3 linked regions of the Neodiprion lecontei genome follow. The protein of the gene in region 2 purifies or fractionates together with the protein of the main gene of each other region. This does not show direct contact. Links are inferred from orthologs where the notes say so. Each region holds a gene or a part of one and is shown on either strand. Other genes may lie near its edges. The genes, in order: metastasis-associated protein MTA3, chromodomain-helicase-DNA-binding protein Mi-2 homolog and uncharacterized protein LOC107224519.

Region 1 (5,125 bases), on a different chromosome or scaffold from region 2:
TATTACTCACTGAAAATAATTATTTCGATTTAAATTTTTCATAACATAGCAATGAATGTTTACCTGCCCTGAGCACTACGCATGCTATAAGTTTGTATAACGTAGTCATTGACATCACTCGATTCGCTACATATTATTATTCCCCTCTTCTTGGCATCTTTTATTGGCATATTGAGCCAAGCAGCAACTGCTTCTAGGTAAAGCAGTAGTGCAATTTTTACTGTACAACCATCGTCCGTCCTCAACACTTTTAAAGTTTCCATAAAGAATTTAGATTTTCTGAAAGGAACGATTCATCTCATGTACATATTGCGAAAGTATTATCATAAATTATGTTGAATTTGATTTTCCATTGAATTGATATTTCAGCGATATTATTGCAATACCCTTCTTGTTCTTGATTTAAGACGGATTTGGCAGCATCATACAAGGTTTCCAGTTTAGCCAGAGGAACGATGTCATTTATATTATATACATCTTGAACATCGGAAGCATTCCTGTTGCACTCAGGTAAATTTGTGTTCGCTACCGATTCGTCGTGCAACGACGGTAGTGAAAGATCTGTCCTTTCGATACTAATGTCTGCAAAGGTTGAAAAATGATTGAATATTTGATTAAAAAATGATACTATCGAAGTGAAACAGATCGTTTCGAGCATCAATTTGCCAATCTTACTAGAAACTGTTTCCTCCAGTTGTTTCGTAACAGAGTTGACATTAATTTTCATTCTCTCTATCTGCTCCGTTCTTCGTTTAACCCTTTTGGAACCAAACTGTTTATTCAGTAGAGCAATTTTGTCGTCATCTACGTCCTTGCCGCCCTTTGGTTCTTTGTCCAGTACGGGAGCTACCTGCCATCTCTCAGCTTGGACTAAACGGACTTTGCCAGTTTTCCTATTGTGAATGGCAAGCATGGTATAGGTCGGAGCTTCGTCAGGATCAGGTCGGTAACCTTTATAAACCACCTGCCCGTTCGAAAGAGCGAGTAGTTGTCTGTTGACTTTGTTGTCACAGTACAATCCACATTCCATATTGACAGCCTCATCATCCTTTAGTTCTCCGTTTTGAAAATCAACTGAAAGGCAAATTTGTAGACTAAATATGAATAAAAAGTATCATCCAAATCGCCTAATCGACGTATGACAATGGGTACGTGCCGAGTAAGGTTAGCATTGCTTTTTCTATGTGTCGTATTGTCGGGTGGGATTATTTCTTACCAATAATCGGTTGAATTTTATTCGGTTTGAGAGAAACTTTATCGATTACCGCCTCTATCGGATGTTTCATTTTTTGCGCTAATTGTCCGTGATAATTGTACAAGAAGAATATTTGTTTACAGTTAACCCCGAGTAATATCTTATCTGTTGTTCAGGGATCCACGTGGTCTGGCTCCGTCGGTAATTGGTAATTGGTCGTTCGTATCTACCATGGAGACTAGAGACAGGAGCACGAACTGCGGTTCAGTTGAGTGAATATAATTGTATAGTCACGAGGCAGCGCTAGTGGGCTCGAACGGCTCCAGTTCGAGCAGAGTGTGAAATGGGAGCAGCGGACCCCGACCAGGCACAATTTACAAAGCCACGAGGGGGGAAACACGGGGGGAACCATGGAGACTTAGGTATAAAGTATATACAAGCAATACGGCGGCGAGAATTTAGATGGAATTTAGACGACGCCGGCGGCCGGGACGATGCCAGAGACGAGCACTCGACTGAAGCCTTTTGAGCCCTCCAGCGCCACCCGGCGCCCAATTTTTAATGACGTATTTTACTTTCCATTTAGTACAGCAGTTCGTGCTCCTGTCTCTAGTCTCCATGGTATCTGCAACACGTCTTGGTTGCCGGTGAGCAAGTAATGCATTCATGCCTGAAACCCGGAAATGGACGATCGCAGCGCCACTTACACGAAAAGAATGATATTTGACCAGTGCCGTGGTGTTCCGTGGTCCGCGTCCCGTGTCCCGCAATGTTAAGCGGTTTAAATAACTACTGAGTTTCCGCACCTATGACTTCATTCGCCTATGATAACCCAGGGTGTGAAGTTGTGCTGTATTGTGATGTACCGTGTCACACCGGGCGGCGTTCCGTGCGCGATTTGTTGACAAAAGCTTGCGGAATTCTGACACTCGTGTAACGTCGAAGTGAAAGCAGTACATTACTCGTCAACGATATGATTGCGGGATCGTTTGTCGAGCTGGAATCTTGACCAAGCCGAGCCCAGCACGAATCTAGCTTGCTGACGACTCGGCGGACGAGTAAACGAGAGGGGTGATATTTCACGTTCGTTTACGGACGCATGTATACATGTGTATCGACATACGTGTCATATGTAATACCTGTAACGTGTGCGCGTGTGTTTTGGAGAGAGAGACTCAACGGTATTAAAAAGGGAAGGAGCTACCGCGCTGGGCTAGTGGAAAAGAGAGAGACACAGAGTTGCGGGTTTGTACAGTGTGTGCTTGGCTCTCTTTCTCGCCAAAATGAAAATGGCGTTGGTCTGTTGAACGGAATGGGCCGCCGCCAAAGATGCTCGCGGTTCTAACGGGCACGTGAAATTTGTGCGCGCGTCGAACCAGGTGATCACAGGTCGATATAATTCTCTGTGCCGTATGAGTGATAAATAGATAATAATCGGACGTAACCGATGGACATATGAGGGTTAAAAAGTTACGATGAAGTGACGAACGGAGCTAGGACTAGGACTAGCAGGGCGACGACAACGACCAGGCAACAACGACGACGACGACGAAAACGGCAACGACGACTGTGCGTCTCAAGTGTCGGCTAAAGTCCCCTAGTTGTGGCGCGATTGTGCGCGTTTGCAAGGGAGAGCGCCGATGCCGGCCGAATACTACGAAGATTTTAAAACAAATTTTCAAAGGGCGTTGCAAATCGATTCTCAAGACTCGTGCAACATGACTGCAAACATGTACCGGGTTGGAGGTATGACGCATTCTTTTATTCCATCAAATCGCTCTTTCGACCATTTCAATCCTCCCCCTAGCTTTAATCACCTACGAAAAATGAATGTTTGCAAATGGCAGAACCGATGGCGCCTGTACGCGTCCCTCTCCGCTCCCCCGTCCTTCCCCCCATTCCTTCCTTCCGTCCTTCCTTCCTTCCTTCCTTCCTTCTTTCTTCCATCCATCCCCCTCCTCATCGGCATACGTACGTATCTACGCACAGTGTCCAACACTCGCCGCTTCTCTGATGAATATCCGTGCGACCCCTTGCCGCCGGTCGTTTGTTTCTTGCGCAGCGTCCGCCATCCGCATTTTAAGACGCGTCGGACACGTCGAATACTCATGTTTCCGTCATCTCTGCTTCTTTTTTACTCCTGTTATCCGTGTTGAGCACATTCATTATCCATCCTCTCCGCTCCTGTTATGAAAAAATTTCTTGTATACAACGTGTCGCCCTGGACTGTTACTGTATACGCCTCTGTATGCATGAAATTTATATTATAGCATACAATTAAAATGTAATGAAAATCTAATCGAAACTGTTGAACAATGATTAGATCAAGATTCTAGCGTCACAATCTTCGATGAAATTAATGTTAATTTTATACAGAGAAAATTTGGTGGTTGTGGGGACTCTGTGTCTTGCGCTACCTCTGTACGATAGCCTTCCTTCCCTCAGCCTGAGTGGTCACTGTCACTACATATTTCTGGTATGCGTTTGGAAGGAAAAGTATGTCATTTAAAGAATTTCTGCCAAGATTTCAATTCGTCTGAAGAGCAAAGAAACTATGGTTCGAATATCTTTACCTATCTTTATAAATTTTTGACTGTTTGATACATTTATTTTCACGTGATAATGAAAAGAGGCTTGGAATTATGATGCATAGAAATGCCTGTATTATCATGGTTCAGGGTTTGAAGCGCAGTTACTTTATCGTGCGAACAGGCGTAGGGAATTTAAATTGTCTTACTATTGCGCAGACACCTGTCCATGCTTAGTTGGTCAATTTATGGGAAAATTGTACATTCCTTAGGAAAAAAAAAGTACTAATAGAAGTAATAGTAACGTGTACACGATGTAACAAAAAATTACATGTATTCAGCCGAAATGATATTGACATCAACGACCAACCAAAACTGACCGGTGGTTTTGCTTTAGTTTTGTGAAATTGATAGGCACTGAGATAATGATATTGTTTTCGATATTTTTCAGACTATGTGTATTTTGAGACGTCGTCAACCTCACCCTATCAGATTCGTAGGATAGAAGAATTGAACAAGGTATTTGTAGACATATGTAATAAGTATAAAGTGGTTAACATAAAGTAATTTCTTGGTGTCCAAACTCACTAAGAAGACAAATTTATTCTAATAATATGTTTAGGCCTGTGTGGAGAGAATCCACCTTGGGTCATCAAAAAACCAGTTTCTATCAATAAATATTCTCAATCGAAGTAAGCGTGAATTTAATTATTCACATTGAATTGGATCAATGTTTCAGACGGCGAGTGGAAATGTTGAAGCAAAGGTGATGTGTTTCTTCAGGCGCCGAGACCTTCCATCAACTTTAATTATGCTTGCGGACAAACATCAATGTAAGTTTGCACTGCTTTAGTCGATTTGTATAAAAATTACCTTTTCATCAAGGCATCATCCATCATTTGTTTCTATACCAATTCCATACATTAATTTGAAAAGTATCTAGAAATGAGTATAATCTATGTATTTTGATATGATGCCATTGTACATATTTAAAAAATAGGCTGGTCCTACTCTTCCGGTATCAATTAGCGGTAGTAATGAGATGCTGAAAATTTTGGCAAAGTATGCATGATGAGTTGTAGTAGAAGAAATGGGGCTAACTGTATCGATCTATTTGAAGAGGCAATGGAAAAGCTATCGGGAGTAGTATTTACCTTATTCGGAATTCTTTTTTCTATACCCTGTCCTCACCACTGTCCACTTTCATACTGTCTTTTCCAGCCCAGAGTGTATGAATCGTTGATGTAATGGTATAGGATTTGGGTTTGGTTTGGCGGAGCGTTTATCTGTCCGCAATAGTTTACAACCATATATCTGTTTGATTGTGATACACAGAAGGAGTAAAATTATCCACTTCCAGCTCCTGCAGAGTTATAATTTTTTTCATTGCCAAAATATCATG
Region 2 (5,094 bases):
TTCATACCTGACAACGTCAACTTTTATCTAACATATATATCTAACGTATGTTGCTAGATTTTCAATAGTTACCGCAATACGATATTAATCACTTGGGAGTGTTCAATTACGCACATATAAAAAAATTACAATTGTAGGTAAGCGTCATATTGAAGTCTGTATATACATAAATTCATTGGAAGTTTGAATACCGTAAGTGGAATGTTATATCTAGTCTCAGAACCTTGAAGGTCAACTAATCAATACCGATTTTATCAATCACATTCTTGAACTAATCGAGTGTATAAAATTGTGATTACCCTTGTGATTACATCCCAATTCTGCGGGTACCATAAAATTGTGTGCAAGCTGATTTTCTCAGATCTTACGCATCTTAAACATTGCATTGATCTTTCTCACGATTTTAAATTAGGGGAACTTCAATAGCTGGCATACTTTGAAAGTTTTCTCTAGTTCATTATTATAATATAAGAATAGATACAACTGCAAAGAACTTCAAGAAATGAGGATATAGCTTTGCATGAACAATGTATAGACCCTTTTTCTATTTCAAAACCTAAGAAGTACGTAAACGCGATAGAGAGTACCTAGCTTAATCTAATACATCCCCACAGCAAGCTTCCATTTTGCAAAAGAAGTGAGTTCATGCTGTCTTTAAGTATAATTTCGTATCCTTATTTGGACCGAGTCACTTCGTATGTGTAGAATTGAATAACTAAAGAAAATTATTAAAATTAGCGCAAGATTGTGATTGATATGTATGTTAATATTTTTTTTTTGATAATCATTCAAATCCTAGATCTATTGTAAAGAAAGAACTATACTTATATACTGAAAAATTATGATAGCAATCTATTATCGAAGAATCAATATCATTGTCCAATACTTTGTTGAATTCAACTAGGTAATTAAATTTCATTGGACGAGTGTTAAATGTATGTTAGAATCGTATTAATAAACAGTTGATTATTGCATACCAGACTCCTATCAACCATACTATTGTCAACTCTGTGTACATATGTTGGATTCCGAATATCCATCCTGAACGTTCCCGATTTGTCGAGTTGTCAGAATCCAACGACCTAGGTTCACGAAGAATACAAAAACTATCCTCAATACCAACAAGAGTCAGCGACATTATCAATCAGCAAATGTTGTATACTTACAAATTACATCAAATCCCGCATATGCTTCATAAGATTTATAGTAGAAATGATATTGTATGTAGTACAAATAAACTGAAAGTAGTTCAAGGAGATCAAATTCGTATTATGCATGTATTTTTTCTTTTAAGTTTAATGATTGATAACGATTCAATCGCAAGACTTCTCTGAGAAGAGTTAATGAAATCTTTTGCGTAAATTTTTTATTCTACACTCATTGAAGCCATTGGCTTGGATTTGAATGGACACAATTTATTGGCGAGATATACAATATGGTATTCCAGGGTTTTATTAATTGAAATTTGGAAGTTTGACATCTAGTACAACAATTAATATAAGAGTTTGGTAGATGTAACAATGGTGAACAATTCGACGCATTGTTACTATGCAAGTCAAAAGTTGGCTGGCGGCGGGGGGGGGTTCCTTTCCGAAAAATTAAAAGTGGTGGGGGTAAAAATAGTAAAAGTGGAGGGGATGAACCGTAAAGTTGCCAAGACTGGAGGCGAAGCGGCGAGCACCGAAAGAGAAGTGATCGCACGCCGAGCACGGATCTACGCGTTTATGTCGCATTTTCGCGAATTTTTGCATATTATTCGCGCTCTCAGTGAGTGATCAGTGTTCAAATAGTTAATTAACATACGAAAATGGCCTCAGAGGAGGAAGTGGACGAAACCTTCGCCGGTAAGTGTCGAATAATGGTTAAGTTTGCCGGAATGTTATACACAGGCACGCAGGACGCGCGCTTTTCATATGATGGCTGCCATGTCAACTTGTCTTACGTGATTTTTAACTTTATTCAGAGCTAAATCAGCTCGCACATGTTTTTACCGGACAAATAACGACTGGGTACAATTTTTCGTATCAAAATTCACCTACATTATTACCAAAATAATTATATTCGAAAAGTATCGAGCTAACCTTCCAAATTTTCAATTGTCCAAATTCTTCAATAATAGCTCGATTATTTTTGCATTTTCAACGTTAATATCAACGTACCTATTAATTCTTAGTTGTCTCCCAATATGCCAGATAAATATTTCTCTGATTACCAACCTTTGCAGATATCATCGATGTTCTGTTTCGATACAAAGTTTACATTTCGCACTGCAAAATATATGTAAATCGAAATATGAATATGGTACTTATATTTATGCATTGCGTGAATAATATTGCTTTCACATTGATCACACGGTTGAATCATCTACCGATCTTCGTAAATTTGTACAGGTTAACGTTATTGTAAATATATTTCCAAATGTTTTTCATTGCGTGTCAACAGGCTAACACTTGTGGGTCTTATTTTAATCGCACTTAATGACAATCGGATTTGCCATACCGAGGTATTGAGTTACAGTAGAATTCGAATGTAATTTTGTAAACACGCGAGTTTCTAGAATCCAGTATTATACGGATATCGGCGTCGTATAACCACACAGCCGACCACGGGTTGGTTGGCTGTAGCTTTCGTACATACCTCAACTACCCGAGTAACTGTAATAAGTTATTAAGAATTAGGAAATAGTTAGTTGTAGAGGCATAATTGCGAAAACTCGCTCAGATATACAAAATTTTCCATATATTTCCTATCGGGTAAGTTTGCTTCGTGAAACAAATCTGCACGTCATTTTACAATGTGTTCGATTTGCCAAGTACATTGCATCAATTGAATTTGATTTATGTGCGTTTCGTGTTAATCTTACATCAATATTAGATCAATCCCAGTAATATTATTTTTAATTCGTACGTAAACGTTCCTAAAATTCAGTATTATACGAACATTCGCGTCGTGTAATCACTCGGCCCACGACAAGTCGGCTGCAGTTTTTATACGTTCATGCCTGAACTACCTGAGTAATTGTAATAAAGAGGATTTAGTCGGTTGTACAGAAATAATTGAGAAAAGGTCGCACAGGTATACAAAATTCTTCAAGTATTTCGCATCGGGTAAGATTTCCTCGTGAAACAAATGTGCACGTCATTTTACAACGTATTCGATTTGCGAAGTAAATTCTACCTATTGAATCTGATTTACATGCGTCTCTTGTTCATTTTACTTCAATATTAGATCAAGCCCAGTAATATGGCCATCAACTCGTATATAAACTGAAATGCTGTCCAAACGAATGTTAGGTATTTTAAGTAGGGGTTAAGAGATCTACCGGAGTATTTGCCCTTAATACAAAATGGCGGTCGCAAGTGTGTGTAACAAAGCATTCGCAACTGTAGATAATGCCAATATATTTTTTCCGTCGCCAGTTGTTTTCACTTGCAATGATAAAACTTCCCAAAACACTGCTAGCAACGTCAAATTTTTACAATATATCATTTCTCACTGGCAAATATTACCTAGAAAGCATCAATTGCCGGCAATGTAAACAAGATCAACGCAGTCGATATAGATGTATGTATATCCGTATGCATATAATACGTACGCGCGATTCCATTCGTCGATCATGCATACATGTACCTAAATAATGCAAAGATTCATCGTAATTTCTACTTGTATTCGCAATGATCAGTATTCCCATTAATGTTAATTTTTTTTCAAATTCAATACTTTATTCGAAACGAAATACAATATGTATGATTACTCTGTATAAAGGCTAATTTTGTCCAGCTCTTATTACCAATGAAACGGTTCTTATTATTGATTTCTTGAGGCATTAAAATGTCAAGTGTCATTCGCAATATTTAACAATAAATTCTATGCTATAGCATGAAAAAATTAAAATCTCCCAAGTTAATTAGATTGGCTGTTGAAACGATGAATTCCAGATTTTCGCCCCCCCTCCCCCCCGCCTATAATGCTCCCTTCTCTTCACCCTCACCGCATCTATCTCTGGCCCAATATCATACTAAGGTGGCAACCTTGATGAGATTATATGTATGAGTCTGCCTATAGATAGCTTGTTGTACAGGAACCTGTGTCATGTTTCATTTCATCACAAATATATATAATTCGTTTAATTGATCTATATCAACTGAAGCTTTGATGAATATCTCAGATTATTCAGCAATATAGCACATATATAAATTATCCGTATATTTAGACAATTGACTTTTTTTTCTTCTTATAGGAGAGGAAGAAGCAGACGAAGCTGGAGTTGCTATACCAAATACTGGCCAACCAGTTGCCGAGGGTTCATCTGATGCTGAAGAGTCTCAGAGACTGGTAATATATATTCTAATTAAATTTTACAATTAATATTATAATATAACAAGCATTGACTATTTGGTTTTATTTCCAAAATTGATAAATATTCGACCAAATGTCTAGTATGTTGTTACAAATTGATAGTCAAAATTTTGTGATCTGATTGAAGTAACTATCTTTTACACATCTTACATTTGCTTAGGAGGAAGATGATGATTACGAACCAGAAGAACGAAAAAAGAAAAAAGGAAAGAAGCGAAAAGCTCGTAGTGAAGATAAGAAAGGGAAAAAAAAGAAGAAGAAGAAAAAATCTGACTCCGGAGACGTAAGTATTTCAGTATGATGAAAAATGATGCCAAATCAACAGTTCTGGTCATGAAGCGTCAAGAGAGCTCACTTATCAAATTTTTATATGCCGCTTCAGGAAAGTGATTTTGCTGGAGCTGAACCTACAGAAGCTGCAGGAGACGACAGTGACTATGCTGGGAATCGTAAGAGTCGAAAATCATCTTCGCGAAAATCGTCAGGACACAATACATCGGCAGTACAACCTCAAGAGCCCAACACTGGAATGCCAACGATAGAAGAAGTCTGTAGTACATTTGGACTCACTGATGTACAGATAGATTATTCTGAAGCAGATTTTCAGAATCTTACGACTTATAAGCTTTTCCAACAACATGTCCGGCCTCTCTTAGCCAAAGAAAACCCCAAGGTACTTTCTGCCTCACAATTACTTCCCAAAATGCATAATACTTTCAAAATGGGATATTTTGA
Region 3 (5,250 bases), about 37 Mb from region 2:
AACGTTCCAAAGCTGAGAGGTTATATGCACTCACAACGAAAGATCTTGCGCCTGATTTGGATAAATCATCTGACAAACGTTACCTGATTGACTTGGAACTTCAATTTTCCGGAAATGTCAAAACGAAAGCATAACATTGCATACATAAAACCGGACGAGCCAAAGTTTTTAAGAGAGTTAAAAGCTAAGGTCGGTTACAAGGAAGGACCTTCTATTGAGACGAAGGTGAGTGAGAAAAAAATCAAACTGATACATATTAATGTAACGTAGGTGAAATGATTCCTTACTTTCTTGGCAATCGATAAAGTTAAATTGCACGTGTCAGTTTAAACTAATCATATTACACTTAGGTATTATGTTGAGCCATGTTTTCGTTCTTCCATTGATTTTTTTCCCTGATTCGATGAGATACAATTGATGTATTATTGTCTAGAAAGAAGCTCTGCCAACAGCCACAGACGAGGATTACGAAGATCGTGATGAAGAGTTACCCACTGTAGTTGTATTAAACAATGGTGATTTAACTGCTGAAGAAGCAGCTGCTTTCGAACTTGCGAAAGAAAAAGGTAAATTTATAGATGAAAAGTTATGAAATTATCTGCAATGCAAAATGGATGGCAGAAAAGATTTCTCAACTTTTATATGTACGATACGATTTTTTGTTTATAATACCTCAATCTGTGTGTAAAATTCAAAAAAAATTTATAATCTATTGTTACTGCAAATTTATTTTTAGAGGAAGCTCAAACCCCAGCAGATCTATCCAAGAAGATAATCTTTACAAAAACAAAGTCTGCACCGAAAGATTCGAAAAAAAATACAGAGACTGAATCTTCGCTTCCCAAGAAAAGCAAAAAATCCAAGAAAACTAAAGTTATTCTTTCATTCAATGAAGATGAAGAGGATTGACAATATTTTATGAAATATTAATGACTAGGGTGACCAGCTTTAATATCAAGTTACCAAAGTGGTAAGTAGCAAATATATGTAGAAAATGTCTCAGATGATATTCTAATCTAAACTTTCGATCATGATAAAAATTTGGCAGTATCATGTTACTTATGCCGCACTAATGAACTAGGTACGCACACATATTATTGCGATGCGAAGCATGAATCTACAAAACTGGATTCAACGATATTTGATTGCAATTTCTTAAATTAGTTTGTGTAACATTAATGTTCTGTAATTTGGCTCATTGATATCATTATCATTGCTATTGTATGACAAGTTTAACTATTAATGGAATTTTTTATTTATTTTTAGAGACTTTGAATTTCGACAGTCATCAGCGCGGTTTTACCCTGAAAGAAAAATGAATATTGATAATTGAACTGCGGATTTTGGATTAATAACGCCGACTTCATGAACTACGTAATTGTATTTGCAGCGACGTGTATGTGATAAAGGAGACTTTGTGTGTATTCACATCTCGCTTTGATATCTTTTCTTGTTAATAAAAAGAATCACGTTGCAGCAAGCAAATTTTTTCAAATTCGTAAGTAAGCACATCGATCACCTCAATACATTTTATTGTCAACTGAGGTACAATATGATGTTCGTAGAATGGTAATATACGATGATTGTAAAATTACACAAAGCATAAAATATCGAGATGAAATCTCTGGCAGACCTATCGAATTATCGATAAGTCTCTAAATGAACTTTTTCGCCCAGTGACTTCGAACTCTTGATCTCAAGAGTAGCTAGTTTTGTCTATCTTGCACACTGTTCAGAAAGCTTCGTTCGAAATTTGAAACTGTTGAGTAGCGACCTTGGGCAAGCGTCTCGATGGTGAAAAATCGGGCTACTTTTTATTGTTCAATGGAGTAATTGTTGTCCTATTGTTGTCGACGAGGATCGCGGTATTTTGTCGATCGCCCGCCCGATTGGTCACCGCATGTGCATATTGTCACGTGACAATTCCGGGCAAATGCTACTGGTTGCGTTTCGCCCCTTTAACACCGAAACTGTCTACGTCACAAAATTTTTGGTCACGTGACCCCTGACGGACGCCATCTTGGCAGTTTTCGAGGGCGACGGGGATAGTAGCGTTGAAGGAGTGTTATCCGTGACGTCGAACACACAAATAAACATAAAATATATGTGAAATAAATTTTTACACAAGGAACAGTGGGTCGGCCGCTTGTAAAGAATAAAGTGTACTCGTAGGTACCCTGGTTAAAGTGTTATAAAGAGGGATATCGTGTGAATTTAAATAGCGCGGCGTTTCAAACATAACTACGATGGATGGATAATAGGGAATCGACATATCGTCGTCCTCTCCGTCGTCGTCTCAGTCCTACTCCGCTCGTGAGAAAACGAGGGGGGGATTCCTATATCAGCGTACGTACAAACGTATTATCGCGTTTCGGTCACAGACATAAGCTAGCGGCTCGTGTTGAGGCCGCAGCTGTTCGGTGTCGTTGTTGTCGTAGAGATTCATTAATACCCTCGCTGTTTCTCCGATCTCGTGTGCATACCTACCGAACTCCTCGTCGCTTGCCGTGCCGCGATTCGGACTCGGTCGCGCTCGGTCCGAATGACGCGACTCGCCAAAGCTAGGGAACCATGGAAATGGCGGGAGTACCTTGTCAAGACCACGTTATTACCTCACATTAACATCGAACGCGATCGAGCGATGACAACCGGCTGCCACCAACACCGCCCCCTTATCATAAACGCAATCTTATAACACAATATCTAGCTATGCTAAAAAAGTACTAGATTCTAACCACCGTTGCATAAAAAAAAAGCGTTCCTACGAATCAGCCAGCATTGAGCGCGACGGTATTTTTATTCCTTTCACATCTTTTTCTTTCTATTTTCTCTTTTCAGTTCTGTTTTTTTTTTTTTTTTTGGTTGTTGTTGTTGCTGTTATTATTATGTCTCGTCTTTTACATCGTTTTCTTTTCCTGCGTACAGGATATTCTATACGAAAAATATATACGTGTACATGCCTACGTCGTGAGCCATGTATTATATGTATGCAGTGCAAAACGTAACCCCACATACCCACCTATATGTATTATGTACCAAATTTTCACCTACAGCTCTGCCCTCTGGTGTTCAATTTTCAACAATATTTATTCACTATTTACAGCTTTTCCCGTACTCCGCGCACACACATGCAAACGCATAACCGCATCTCTTTCCTATTATTCTATATTTTCCATTATCTGCCATACGTGTCGGTATATTTGGACGGTATGTTTGTCTCCCGAATTCTGACCGCGAACCACGTCACAGATGACGAATCTTACGTATTAACCCTTGATTCTTGTTCCCGCTATTTTATCAATCAAAAGAGAAGACAAAAACAAACAGCTGTAGAATAATGCATCGTGTGTCGAAAATGCAAAATCTATTGCTCGTTGGCCAAGTCAACGATATTATGATATTGTTGCCATTGACTGCGTGCAATACGGCGTACATATTTTAAGGCATATCACACACATTCCCGGGTTCATGCGTATAGCGTTGTAATTCAAAAAACTAAACTGGAACGTCTGAAATCCTCCTTCGCCGTACAAGTTCCGTTTAGTTTCTCTTACATGTTAATAATTACTTTTTGTAACATAATATTTGCTACCTTTTACCCGGCGGGAGTACGCCAAAGTTTAGGTTTGGGAGAGATTAGGCAGAGGACGATCAGTAGGTTGTAGGTAACAGGCAGTTAGTAGTAGGTTGTAGGTACTAGGTAGAAGGTAGAAGGTAGAAGGTGGTAGGTTGCCTCCACCTCGTAGGTTGCGTAGAGAGGCGAGCGAGTCGTCGTAGTCAGCGGGGCGTGTAGGTATAAGGTATACTCCACTGCTAGGTCGTTGGTTGGTTGTGTTGGTTGGCGAAGGTTGAGGAGAGGTACGCGACGAAGGTTCGGCTTGTGCTCGGAGACGCGGCTGTTGGCTGGCCAGCTCGCAGATGCAGGTGACTGACTGACGCTTATATACGGCAGTCGTTTCGAACAACGTACACATACACACTGTACACGCACACAAGAGTACCTGCTTACGGATGTCTCTAAGTTTTTTTCCGTCAAATTTGCTTTTTCAATAAATCGCATCAGATGCACCCACCGTACCCGACTGACAACGCCGCATATACTCCGTTGTTGCATCCCAAGTTCACGTAAGAATTACAATATCGCCATGGAGCTGTAGCCTAAAACGCACACATTCTATGCGTATACCTATGTATGCATATATACGTATATAGATATATTTTTTTTTTACTTCTCAAATTCACCTACCATGCAGGCTGTCTAGACTCGAGAGCGTGGCGGCGCGTCTCCGAACTTTCGTCGGCACCGTACTATGTGCACGTCTCGTGTATGCGTGCAGAAGAGAGAGAGAAAACGTCGAGTTTAACCCCATTGCTTGTTCGGCAGTAATAATTTATTGGTTATAACAACGTATAGCTGAGCTGCGGATAATGCATACGTACAATGTATGTTTTACCATGTACTATTCGAATAATAGGAGTGTGCCATAAGAATTTTCAGCGCCATTTTGGAAAAATTTCTCTACCTCAATTATCTTGCTTCTATAGGCACATCGTCATATAATTTAATATCGCGGACGGTGCTTAGAATCTGGACGTGATAAAAGAGACCAACGATATTCAAACCGTTCTCATAACATGTCAAACTATGTTTTCATAAATTTTTTCATGTAAACATTGGTACTATTTTTTTTTTTCACTTTGCTTGTTTTATTCTTTCGCAGATTGATTAAACCAGAAGTGGCCACATGGAAGGCGCTTTAGAAGAGTCTGCGGTCAAGGACCTACCTCGGGACGATCCTGATGCTAAGACTGTCAAAGGTATGGTTGACTGTACCTCGTTCGTACTTTACGGCCAATTGACACTGAACCTTTGATAATGTAATTTCAGACACTATCATTACAAACGGTTTAAATGGTAACTGCGAACCTGATGAAACTGTCGAGGAGCACAATGACTCCAACGACGAGTGCGAACCCATATCCAAGAATGTTATGGACAATGAGGCGACCGACGATGTGGTGGAAGAAACACCGCAGGAGGACCCAAGGGACGAGGTAGAACCGATGGAAACTGAAGCTGATGCTGGCATTGACGAAGCTAAAGAAAAAGAAGAGGATCAGGCTGAAGATTTTCTGGAAACGAAAACCCAGAAGGAACAGCCTAATGAAAAAGATTCCAAGGAAGGCAGCGAAGTTGTTAGGATAATGGAAACTGAGAGTGGGGACAATGTCGACAATTCACTGGATGAC

The links.
Region 1: the proteins of chromodomain-helicase-DNA-binding protein Mi-2 homolog (region 2) and metastasis-associated protein MTA3 fractionate together in Drosophila melanogaster (co-fractionation; 3 studies listed by BioGRID, with this or other methods). This does not show direct contact. The link is inferred for Neodiprion lecontei from reciprocal best matches to the Drosophila melanogaster genes Mi-2 and MTA1-like.
Region 3: the proteins of chromodomain-helicase-DNA-binding protein Mi-2 homolog (region 2) and uncharacterized protein LOC107224519 purify together in Drosophila melanogaster (affinity purification with western blotting; 6 studies listed by BioGRID, with this or other methods). This does not show direct contact. The link is inferred for Neodiprion lecontei from reciprocal best matches to the Drosophila melanogaster genes Mi-2 and MEP-1.

What each region holds. Positions count from the first base shown.
Region 1 is NC_060266.1:390,958-396,082, reverse strand, and holds the start of metastasis-associated protein MTA3, read left to right. Parts: upstream 1-1,943; 5' UTR 1,944-2,835; coding exon 2,836-2,941; intron 2,942-4,174; coding exon 4,175-4,242; intron 4,243-4,462; coding exon 4,463-4,556; intron 4,557-5,125. Other genes in the region: uncharacterized protein LOC107216873, read right to left, coding at 64-279, 387-582, 676-1,074, 1,217-1,286.
Region 2 is NC_060261.1:40,134,648-40,139,741, forward strand, and holds the start of chromodomain-helicase-DNA-binding protein Mi-2 homolog, read left to right. Parts: upstream 1-1,663; 5' UTR 1,664-1,807; coding exon 1,808-1,844; intron 1,845-4,237; coding exon 4,238-4,335; intron 4,336-4,519; coding exon 4,520-4,642; intron 4,643-4,741; coding exon 4,742-5,032; intron 5,033-5,094. UniProt on the Drosophila melanogaster protein: ATP-dependent chromatin-remodeling factor which acts in nucleosome-remodeling by catalyzing ATP-dependent nucleosome mobilization. Involved in regulating transcription. Plays a vital role in development.
Region 3 is NC_060261.1:3,448,102-3,453,351, reverse strand, and holds the start of uncharacterized protein LOC107224519, read left to right. Parts: upstream 1-2,038; 5' UTR 2,039-2,168; exon of another isoform or gene 2,169-2,346; intron 2,347-2,888; exon of another isoform or gene 2,889-3,924; intron 3,925-3,940; exon of another isoform or gene 3,941-4,125; intron 4,126-4,253; exon of another isoform or gene 4,254-4,443; intron 4,444-4,721; 5' UTR 4,722-4,745; coding exon 4,746-4,818; intron 4,819-4,888; coding exon 4,889-5,250. Other genes in the region: uncharacterized protein KIAA1143 homolog, read left to right, coding at 115-225, 434-566, 737-909.